Neodiprion lecontei: one gene and its partner. The protein of the gene in region 1 binds, or shares a complex with, the protein of each later gene. Links are inferred from orthologs where the notes say so. Each region holds a gene or a part of one and is shown in the gene's direction. Other genes may lie near its edges.

Region 1 (4,836 bases):
TGACCTGATGACGTTTAACTTTCCGGACTAATTTTCAAGTTTACAAATTTGATTATTGAAACATCATGTTTTGTCCTATCAAACCAATATGCATGCTTCAGATAACATTGTGAATCGGAAAAAAAAACCGAACGACCAGGATCAACAAATTGCAATTGGTGAGTGGTTGGCATTGTATACATAGGAATACGTGACAATAACGTCGTACAATTAGAGCTAAAATTGCTGTGTGTGGTGTGTCAAATCAGTTAGCACTTAGCTGATTGTTCTGTGATATTTTTAGACGAAATTTATTGTCTTAAAATCACAATACGTTATACTTACGTGCATGTGTAAACGTGATTTGTAGCATTATATAGACAAAATCTTACGGGCAGATTCGGTTTGCGCCACATGCACAAAGACAGTGTTTATTCTGTATACTGTGAAGCAAATACCAGAATTTTTTCCAATATACCTAACATACCTAACATAAGTAGAAACATACCTAAGAAGTAAAGACGCCTAACTCTGACTATAAGCCAACCCACTTGCTTTCGAAACTGTGTGACACGCTCATCACGCCGCAGGGTAAAAATAAATCTAATTGTATTATTAAGCAATCACTAGAGATAAGGGTTAAGCTCACCAGTCAGATCATTATGTACCAAGTAGCAATAATCGAATAAGGGAAAGATTAGTGCAGTAATAAGTTTAGCCCTAAGTTTGCGCGATAGCGCATTTCGATGATGTTTGAGCCACGATACAGGGAGAAATTAACTTTTTTGGAAATTTGCATAACCTCGAACCTCGTGAACATAAGGAAGCACTGTACCATTAACCGAGATAGGGGGCAGATCCTCCAGATCGATACGATTCAGATGCGTGCCACTCCCCGTAACAAAAACCTTGGACTTATTAAGATTGTGCTTGAGGCAGTTTTCAGCCGCATAATCGGCTATGACGCCAACATCGTGTGCGATCATGGCTTAACCTTCTCCTAAATCAGATGGGTGGCAGGTTAGATAAATTTTAGTATCATCAGCAAAAATAATTCGCTTCGAATGAGCAAGCTTAGCGCCGATATCATTGATGAATAATGAGAATAGCAGAGGCCCAAGAACGGACCCCTGGGGAAGGTGGTCGAAGGTGGAAGGAGGTGGTAGGAGTTGGTAGGGGGTGGTTGGAGGTGTTAGGAAGTAGTTGGGGGTGGTTGGCGGTGGACGCGGTTACGCGTCTTTTCGCGGGGATAATTGAGTTGATCGACATTTCTAAGTGGACATCAGGTACTCACTCTGTACCGACTCAATCTCAAGCTTCCATACGGACACTACTTTGGCTGCTACGAATGTCGGTGCGAGCCCGTTAGGTAGAGTCGATAGAGAGACCCTCCTACGCTCCCAGGCCCACCTGCGGCCACTTGCCCGCCGAAAATTGGTCACAAAAATTTACACAGGGGTATCCGTCTTTATGTTCTTCAGTTAACGTCTGTGTGTTTGATGATGGTTTGATGCGGGACCCCGTCATCTTTCATCTTTGGATGCCTATGGCGGGAACGTCGTTCGGTTTTGCAATCAGCGTCACAGACAATTTGTAGGTTATGTTCAGCGCTGGTTAGCACAACGACGCATCAAACGTGCACGTGCTATTTCAAAACGTCTAGATATCGTTTGGATGGTTGCAAATAAATAATAAACTTGTAAGTACTCAGAAATGAACGACTTTCCATGAATATGTGGAAACAGTGTACACATTTGGGTGAATCATCGACTCAACTCTGAATATTCTGTTTGGTTAAAAATATGATTATAACCTCCAAATAATAATTTTCAGTATTTCGTTAATTTTTCCGCAATAAAAAATGGTACGACACAACAATCAACTACCGGACAATCTTCCTCAACTGCAAAATTTAATCAAGCGTGATCCGGAGTCATACAAAGACGAGGTAAGCTGGTATATAATATTTTGCATTGAAATAAATATATTATGCATAATGGTCTGAGATAACAATGAATGCTTGATAATCTAGTTCTTGCAACAACACCGTCATTACAAATCAACTTTGGAAGTCTTCCGACTGACGCCTGATACATTCAACAAAAGTCTCGATGAATTGGTGATTTTTCTTGCACAGGTAAGGCTGATGTTTATAGCAATCTCTACTGTAAGTCCGTCCTGTTCGCATTTTTACTACTTAAACTAGAACTTAGCTTTACACTTTAATGCTTATAAATTTATAATAAATAGTAACTATTCTCATAAGCAAAGCTTTATTAACAGCAATTATGCAGAACCACTTCTTATTACACAAAAAGACATTATTGCCCTAGACTAGTGCAATTTTCATTTGCGATAGGTGGTGTTAGGTACAACAGAACGATGTTGTTTCGAATTGGCTACATTGTAAACAGCCAGAGTCTGCACTTTATTTCTCTTAAGCAGCGGTCTGATTTTTCGATGTAACTTGACAGAACACGTTTAATTTCAATCAGAAGGATATCATTTTTTCAATTGGCATAATTATTCTCAACACCACGAAAGATAATAAACAGAATCTATTGTTATTTTCTTTCAGGTCTGAGCAGCGTTTTGTCAAGTTGCATTGGGATCAGCAGTGTTGTATTTTGAGTTGATAAAGCATAAAGACTGTTGCCGAAAGCTTTAATAGATAGTTGGAGAGTATAATTTGTACTCTTTCAATTGTTTAATAAGTGTGCTTGGACTATTAATATTAACAATGAAGAAAACTATGGAAAAATGCCTGAAATCTCTCGGACAGAAAATAATATGCAGAGACAATCTTATAAAATGCTTGTTTTCTCTAATTGGTTTTTCAGATGAGGAAATGGTGCAAAGCATTTTTGTATATGGCCATACAGCAAGTGGCAAGTCTCTGGTTATTGAATCTCTGTTGGCTTACCTTAAATATAATGTTTGCATCATCAACTGCGTTGAATGTTACAGCAGTAAACTCATCTATGAACACATTTTAAATGACTTGTCTATGCATGAAATGAATTCGAAAAATAATTTCACAGTTTACCAGAAATGCGATAACATGATGGACTTTATTACTTACCTACAAATTGCAGTACAAAACGATAAGCGTCGTATAGTTATTGTGTTTGACAAATGTGATCGGCTGCGCGATATGGATGTGAATTTATTGCCTGCACTTGTGAGGCTGCGAGAACTGACTGGTTTGGATCTTTGCACAATCTTTGTCAGTGACATTGTTTGGGAAAAGTATTACTCAAAAAATGGTTTATTGAATCCTATTAAAATTCACTTTCCACAGTACACACGGGAGGACATGTTGAAAGTATTATTTTTATACAAGCCTAAGGATTACGAGGATGGATTTTACGTGAATTACTTAAATTTATTTTTATCTGTGTTTCTTAGATGTTGTAGAGATTGTAATGAGCTACGGTACATGGCTAAAATAAATTTTGATAAATATGTTGAACCTGTTGAATCGGGTAAAATTGATAAGAATGATGTACGCTCTTTGTGGCGGAATATATCTGGAATTTTAAAATCAAATTTAGAAGTTGTTTATCTCAGAGTGTCTACTGATGATTCTGAGCAACGTACTAAATTGTGTCAAGAGATTGAATCTACAACGAAATTGGCTTTGAGCTTTGAACTGCCGTTCTATGCAAAGTACATGCTCATAGCTGCTTACTTGGCTTCTTATAATCCAGCCAAAGATGACAAACGCTTATTTGTCAAACGTAGTAGTAAAAAGAAAAGGCGAAACACTGTGACTAAAAAACCTGCCAAACTTAACACACAGTTAGGGCCAAAGGCATTTACTTTGGACAGAATGCTCGCGATATTCTACGCGATTCTTGACGAAAAAGTAGGATTGACTGCCAATCTATTGGCACAAATACCCACCATGTGTCAGTTAAGACTATTGAGCATAGTAGGTGATAATAATTTAGATGGTCCCAAATATAAGTGTTGCGTCAGCTATGATTTCATCGTTATCATTTCTAAGACAGTTGGGTTCAATGTTAGGAATTATTTGTATGATTTCATTTAATGTATGTATTTAATGTGGACTTGCCAGTTTTCATGTTTCTTTTAACTATTTTCTATGGTTAGTGGGAACATAATATTGCTGTTAAGAATATTTATTTCCATTCAATTATTTCTTTAGTTGTATTACTGTAGTAGTATCTTTTGTATTTTTTTTTTGCTATAAATAAATGTGAAATAAGATAAAGACAAAATCCTTGGAACACTTAGTTAATGATCTGACCGTTCAAGCTAGAGTATCCAAAGTATGTAACTTCAGTTCATTACTCAAAACTCATTCATTCAGAATTCGTCGTATTATGTTTGCCTTGTTTCTATCATTGTAGGTAGCTCATTGCTATTCAGAAGAGTTGACAACTTTTCCTCAAGAGCTTGTGGATATTCTGCAAACACAAAACACTGTTCTGGACACTGGAATGAGAATGGTGACCAAAGAGTATTGATGTTTGGTGTACAGGTGTGGAAGATTGCAAATTAACGCATTTCATTTTACAGACGTTCTGCAGGGCACTAATATTACTTCGAAATAAAGGACTTCTGGAGCCAACTGCACTCTTGAGCTTGTTTTTTCAGCTACTGAGATGTCAGGATAAAGCTTTAAGACAATTCCTCGAAAACCACATTATAACAGATATCAAGAATGTTAATTCCAAGCACAAGAATGCAAAAATTAATACTACGTTGCAAAATTTCATGTTCACCATGTTGAAAGACAGCAATGCACGAGCTGCAAAAATGTCTATAGATATAATGATTGAACTGTATAAAAAAAATGTCTGGAATGATGCTAAAACTGTAAATGTCATT
Region 2 (5,051 bases), on another chromosome or scaffold:
TTACGGGTAGCGGCGGAAAATCAAAATGGTATGTCGAATGTAAAATTTTCGCCCTGGGGGTAAACTATTAGCCTGAAAGTTTACTGATCGTCATCAACATTCCCTGTCTATCTAATTGCGATGTTACCATCCGGTCGATTAACACAAAAGAATGTATTCGAAGTACGTGGAAAATATTATTTTTCGCCCTGGGGACAAACTATTAGCGTGAAAGTTTACGGGTGATGGTGAAAAAATCAAAATGGCCGCCATCAAAATGGGCGCTCGATAGCGAACGTCATAGCGAAAATCACATTATCAAACTGTCCGACGATAAAAAATCAAAATGGCTGCTCATCCGGCTAAGCAAAAATCAAAATGGCTGCTCATCCGGCTAGGAAAAAATCAAAATGGCTGTTATCAAAATGGCCGCTCGTCCGAATCAAAATACATATACAAACAAATATCGTCATAAAAAAACAAGGCCAAACTAAAGGCATAAAATACTTTACACACTATTTCCGTGAAAACTGCAAGCCCTGGTTCCACAACAAAGACCTCTCAAGAGAATGTATAGTCACGATAAACCGTTGCAGAGCGAACCACTACCACCTACGCGCCTTCCTTTTTCGCATAAATGTTACAGACAGCCCAAATTGCGACTGCGGTGAATTTGAACAAAATATTAAACACGTACTGTGGCAATGCGTATTATTTGACCAACAAAGAATAGAGTTTTTCAGCAATCTATCTAACTCTAACTTACGCCCCCCACTGAATATTGAATTAATAATTTGTAAACCTAACTTAAGCGCCTGCATCTATATTCAATGCTTTCTGAATACATGTAACCTCAAAGTATAAATTGTCAAAACTCAATACAAATAAGTATAATAACTACATCAACCATTATAAGACTATTGTAAACTAAACTTTTGTATGCAGATATAAACCCTTACAAGGGTTTCAAATGCTTAAATAAAAAAAAAACAAAAAAAACGTGTCAAATGAACGCGGGGATGTAGATTTTTACTCGTAATAGGGTACGCCAGAGAATTTTTACAGCATGGCATCTAAATTTACAAGTATCGAGACAGCGAAATTCACCGGTTCGATTTTCATTGTTACAACGCGTGGCTCGCGGTGCTGTCGAATAAAAAGTGGTCGTTAGATTATGCATACTCGAATCATCATCAACCCGGAATATCATTCTTGCATACAAATTGACAATTTACCGTATAGGAAAAGTGTCTCATCAGAATTGGATGCAGACTATTTGCGGAAGATTTCGGGGCTAGGTGCCGAGCTCACGAGCTGAAAGATGGAATGCCTAGAGGAGATACATGGAATGAACACACTTTGTGCATCTGAAAGGGGACCCTCGGACATGGTTTCAATGGATTGCAGGTATGTTGTAGAGGTATTTGCCCCAAGTTTTGTCACTAGGATAACGGGAATTTATGCACTGTGGCTTGGTTTCCGAGAAAATCGATGGCTTACTAAATATCAATAACAAACATTGATTTAGAAAGTTTTTTTTCAAATTGCGAATCCGTCAGGGCGCAGCGTCTGATGCGCTGTTTGAATAAAACAAGCAATGCGATCAACGTTACCGACGGACGTTACTCAATTTTCCCGAAATGGTTACGGATCTTTCAAGGGTCGTGATCACAGCTCGGGCAGTAAACTGGGCGAAAGTGTTTGTGTTTGGATCTGTGAATTGTAAACATTTAACCGTGTCAGCCTGCCGAGTGCGGTGAAGTTCTCGTTTTTTAAATCCAATAAGTTGAAATAAAATTCTCCCTGAACTGTGAATTTTTTCACCGTAAGTATACAAAATTCTGTCTTATTTTAGTCGACACTATTTCTTGGTAATCGGATTGCGATTTTTATTCATCATTTTTTCACCAACGATTATCGCACCGCACGCAACCGTCATAACCTAAACGTTTATTTAATCGTCCGTACGGATAAATGAATGTTATAAAACTAATCGCACGAATAACGGGCTAAAAATGTTGTAATCATTATCTTTCGATAGTGAAAGAAATCAAACTCAGAAACAAACAAGAATAATTATGAGCAAAAAGCAGAACATGGCTATAGATTTCCACGACAATATGATACTACTGACCAGAAAGTATCTGAAGCGAAAAATCATGTGTCCAGAAACAAAGTTCAGGCATCACGTCAAGGAGCGAGTACATATTCTGGATTTGTTGAAAAGGACCGTTGAAAACGGCGAGAGCAATTCGGCCTTACTGATCGGTCCCAGAGGATGTGGAAAAACCACGGTAAGATGTGGCCAAAAACATGTATGCAAATATCGGAGACTAAAAGACACAAGAGTAACGCAAAGTAGCCTGTAAATCTTTACAAAACGTATCTTTCATTGAATTTAGCTCATCAACAGCGTACTGAAAGAGCTGTCGTCGTTAAAATCATTCAAAGATGAAGCACTTGTCGTGAACTTGCATGGTTTAGTTCATACGGATGATCGTCTTGCGCTCAAAGACACCACACGTCAGATGCAGCTGGAAAACGCAGTCGGTGACAAAGTATTTGGCACGTTCGCAGAGAACTTGAGCTTCCTTCTTGAATGTCTCAAGTCTGGGGACAAGACTCAGTCCAAGCCGGTAATTTTTATTCTGGACGAGTTCGACCTGTTTTGCGCCCACCGAAACCAGACTCTGCTCTACAATTTGTTCGACGTTGCGCAATCTGCACAGGTGAGCATCACGCAAGAAATAAAACAATAGTTATATATATCCCTCGTTGTCCTCAATTTTGTCCAGGCCCCGATATGCGTGCTTGGAATCACCTGCAGGCTTGATGTTATCGAACTTTTGGAGAAGCGTGTCAAGTCCAGGTTCTCACATAGACAGATATTCCTTTTTCCGGGCGACACATCTGGCTCAGATCAACCCACCTCAGCTTTTGACGATCGTCTCAAGTTGTTCCAGCACCTCCTCAGTCTGCCTGATGACGAAAATGTAAACGAAACCGATCAGCAGTACGAGGATTGTAAAATAAATCCGCAGTTCGGCGCCAGATGGAACGAGTACATAAAAAGTCTGACCGAAAACATGACTATGGTCAATTTTTTGAAGAGAATGTACCAGCTGGATGTCAGCGAGAGGAGTTTCAGAAACTTTTTGGCCCTCGTTATATCGTCGCTGTCCGAAAAACATCCGAAATTAGAAGTGAATGATTTCGTTGAGGCTAATAAGTTCTTCCATCAGGACGACAAGGTTCTCACCCTTCAAGGGTTGTCTGTTCTAGAATTGTGCCTGGTGAGAATTTCACCTTCGAACGAAGGGACGCGAGTCTGTTGAATTTCCGATTTTATCCACCTCTTTTTGCAGATTATCGCCATGAAACATCAGACTGAAATATACGACGACGAGCCGCTGAATTTCGAAATGGTTTTAAACAGATACGTCAAGTTCGCTAATCAGAATTCGTCTATTCAAACCGTCCAGCGACCTGTGATCATGAAGGCTTTCGAGCACATCAAGGTGAGCATCAATGTGCCATTTATACTCCCATTATAGATAACGGATGATTGAAATTACAGAATTTGGAGCTGATTCAGCCTGTTGGAGGGCCGAACACACGAGTTGAGAAGGAGCATCAGCTCTATAAGTTTTCACTCGGTTGGCAGCAGATAGCCGATGCCGTTAAAAACTATCCCGAGCTTCCGACTGAAGTTTCCCAATGGGCGGTCAGCAGTTTACAATAGAAAATCCGTGCATTTAACTAACTTTAATGAAATGTGTTAAACTTGAACAGTTCTTTGACAATAGGATTGTTGTTTCGTTTTATTTTACATTTTTTTCCCTTCGTATTGAACGACGTTCCCGTTACCAGTATTCATAGGGTTTTACGTGCAACCCTTATTATTGTATTCGATAGATAAATATGAAACATGCGTAGAGTTTCTAGTTCTATACTTATATTTAATTATGTTGGTTATACCTTGAAATTGTAGACTAATTGTGTAGCCAATATTTTATTATTATTAGTACTACTGTAAAGTCTAGGCGAAAAAATGAATTACGCGATTAACAGATCTCGTCTCTTGATTATCTCATTGTATTATTTATCTCTTACGTACATGTATTTTTCAAGTTCAAAGCTTTAATTTATTTATTTACACTATTTATTTGCATTTCGGAAAACACGAGAAAACAAAATGAAAAAGGAAACTAGAGAAGGCAGAACAAAGAGTAAGAGAAAAAAAAAAAATAAAAAAACGTGTGGATTGTATATTTACTCAGTAATAAGACGTGTTTGTATTTCTATTTATACAAAAGTTTCTATAATATAAATTTATACATTGAAAAACGATGTAAAGTGAAAATCTTATCTTGTTTTTACGTGTTTACTTGTTTCATCCATCACACCTCGTTTTTACTCAATCCACGACAACTTTGGAGTCTCTTTGCCCTTCAATGATTTTTTTAAAAGATCCTTCACCCCGGATTGTATTCGGTTGTTTTTCAAACCAGTCACTTTTCCCGGACTGCGCGCCATTAATTTCTTCAGCTTTTGGGCTCTCTGGCTGCGGTTGTATCTCTCCAAGTACGATTCGTGCCCTGTGGAATCGAGTTGATAAATTTTTATCAATTCCCCCTCTTAAATGCAACACGATAAAAAATATCAAACCTGGGTTGAATCCTATTTTCAAAACATTCTCCAGTCGAATTTGATCCGGGAATGGACGAAGCGCGGAAACCGCTCTGCTCACTCCCACCTGAAAATTAAATTGAAACGTATGCGTTAAAATTCACACGCGCGAAATCACTACCTAATCTACCCACCTGCACGTGTCTCACTCTGTGCTCGACCAAATCTGCACCCAGTAATTCTTCGTGCGTGCTCATTCTGATCGGTAGCACCTTGTCGATCATCTGTAATTGCGGTCAAGTTCAAATTTCTGTCCGCTTCTTTCCGTCTTCACATATACTCACCCACAACAGAATAACCGACGATAGAAAACTCCAGCTGGCTAGACAAAGCACGGACAAGCTTTGAATCCCGAGTAGGTACCATCCCCCACCTTTAATTAA

The links.
Region 2: the proteins of origin recognition complex subunit 5 (region 1) and origin recognition complex subunit 4 are in contact, whole or in part, in a crystal structure (PDB 4XGC), measured with the Drosophila melanogaster proteins. The link is inferred for Neodiprion lecontei from reciprocal best matches to the Drosophila melanogaster genes Orc5 and Orc4. Residues at the interface, in NP_477132.1 of Drosophila melanogaster: Met1, Glu2, Glu20, Glu24, Leu25, Asp28, Ser30, Glu31, Thr32, Tyr33, Pro34, Ser35, Phe40, Gly41, His42, Asn100, Met101, Leu102, Val105, Glu106, Arg109, Arg115, Arg132, Asn137, Val141, Arg144, Gln146, Leu148, Asn150, Leu151; in NP_477320.1 of Drosophila melanogaster: Val9, Arg12, Arg13, Lys16, Glu17, Gln20, Arg21, Tyr23, Arg58, Asp89, Asn91, Leu92, His93, Val98, Ser102, Glu147, Tyr250, Arg253, Asn254, Asp257, Glu260, Tyr261, Ala299, Tyr300, Asn303, Phe306, Arg307, Ala310, His311, Arg313.

Annotation. Positions count from the first base shown.
Region 1 is NC_060262.1:27,787,697-27,792,532, forward strand, and holds origin recognition complex subunit 5, read left to right. Parts: upstream 1-2,009; 5' UTR 2,010-2,011; coding exon of another isoform or gene 2,012-2,116; intron 2,117-2,557; 5' UTR 2,558-2,719; coding exon 2,720-4,033; 3' UTR 4,034-4,114; downstream 4,115-4,836. Other genes in the region: protein SDA1 homolog, read left to right, coding at 1,841-1,927, 2,012-2,116, 4,356-4,454, 4,525-4,836. UniProt on the Drosophila melanogaster protein: Component of the origin recognition complex (ORC) that binds origins of replication. DNA-binding is ATP-dependent, however specific DNA sequences that define origins of replication have not been identified so far.
Region 2 is NC_060263.1:16,666,997-16,672,047, forward strand, and holds origin recognition complex subunit 4, read left to right. Parts: upstream 1-1,641; 5' UTR 1,642-1,804; intron 1,805-2,020; 5' UTR 2,021-2,057; coding exon 2,058-2,273; intron 2,274-2,381; coding exon 2,382-2,708; intron 2,709-2,774; coding exon 2,775-3,272; intron 3,273-3,344; coding exon 3,345-3,497; intron 3,498-3,556; coding exon 3,557-3,721; 3' UTR 3,722-4,258; downstream 4,259-5,051. Other genes in the region: putative ammonium transporter 3, read right to left, coding at 4,393-4,577, 4,648-4,735, 4,803-4,892, 4,953-5,041.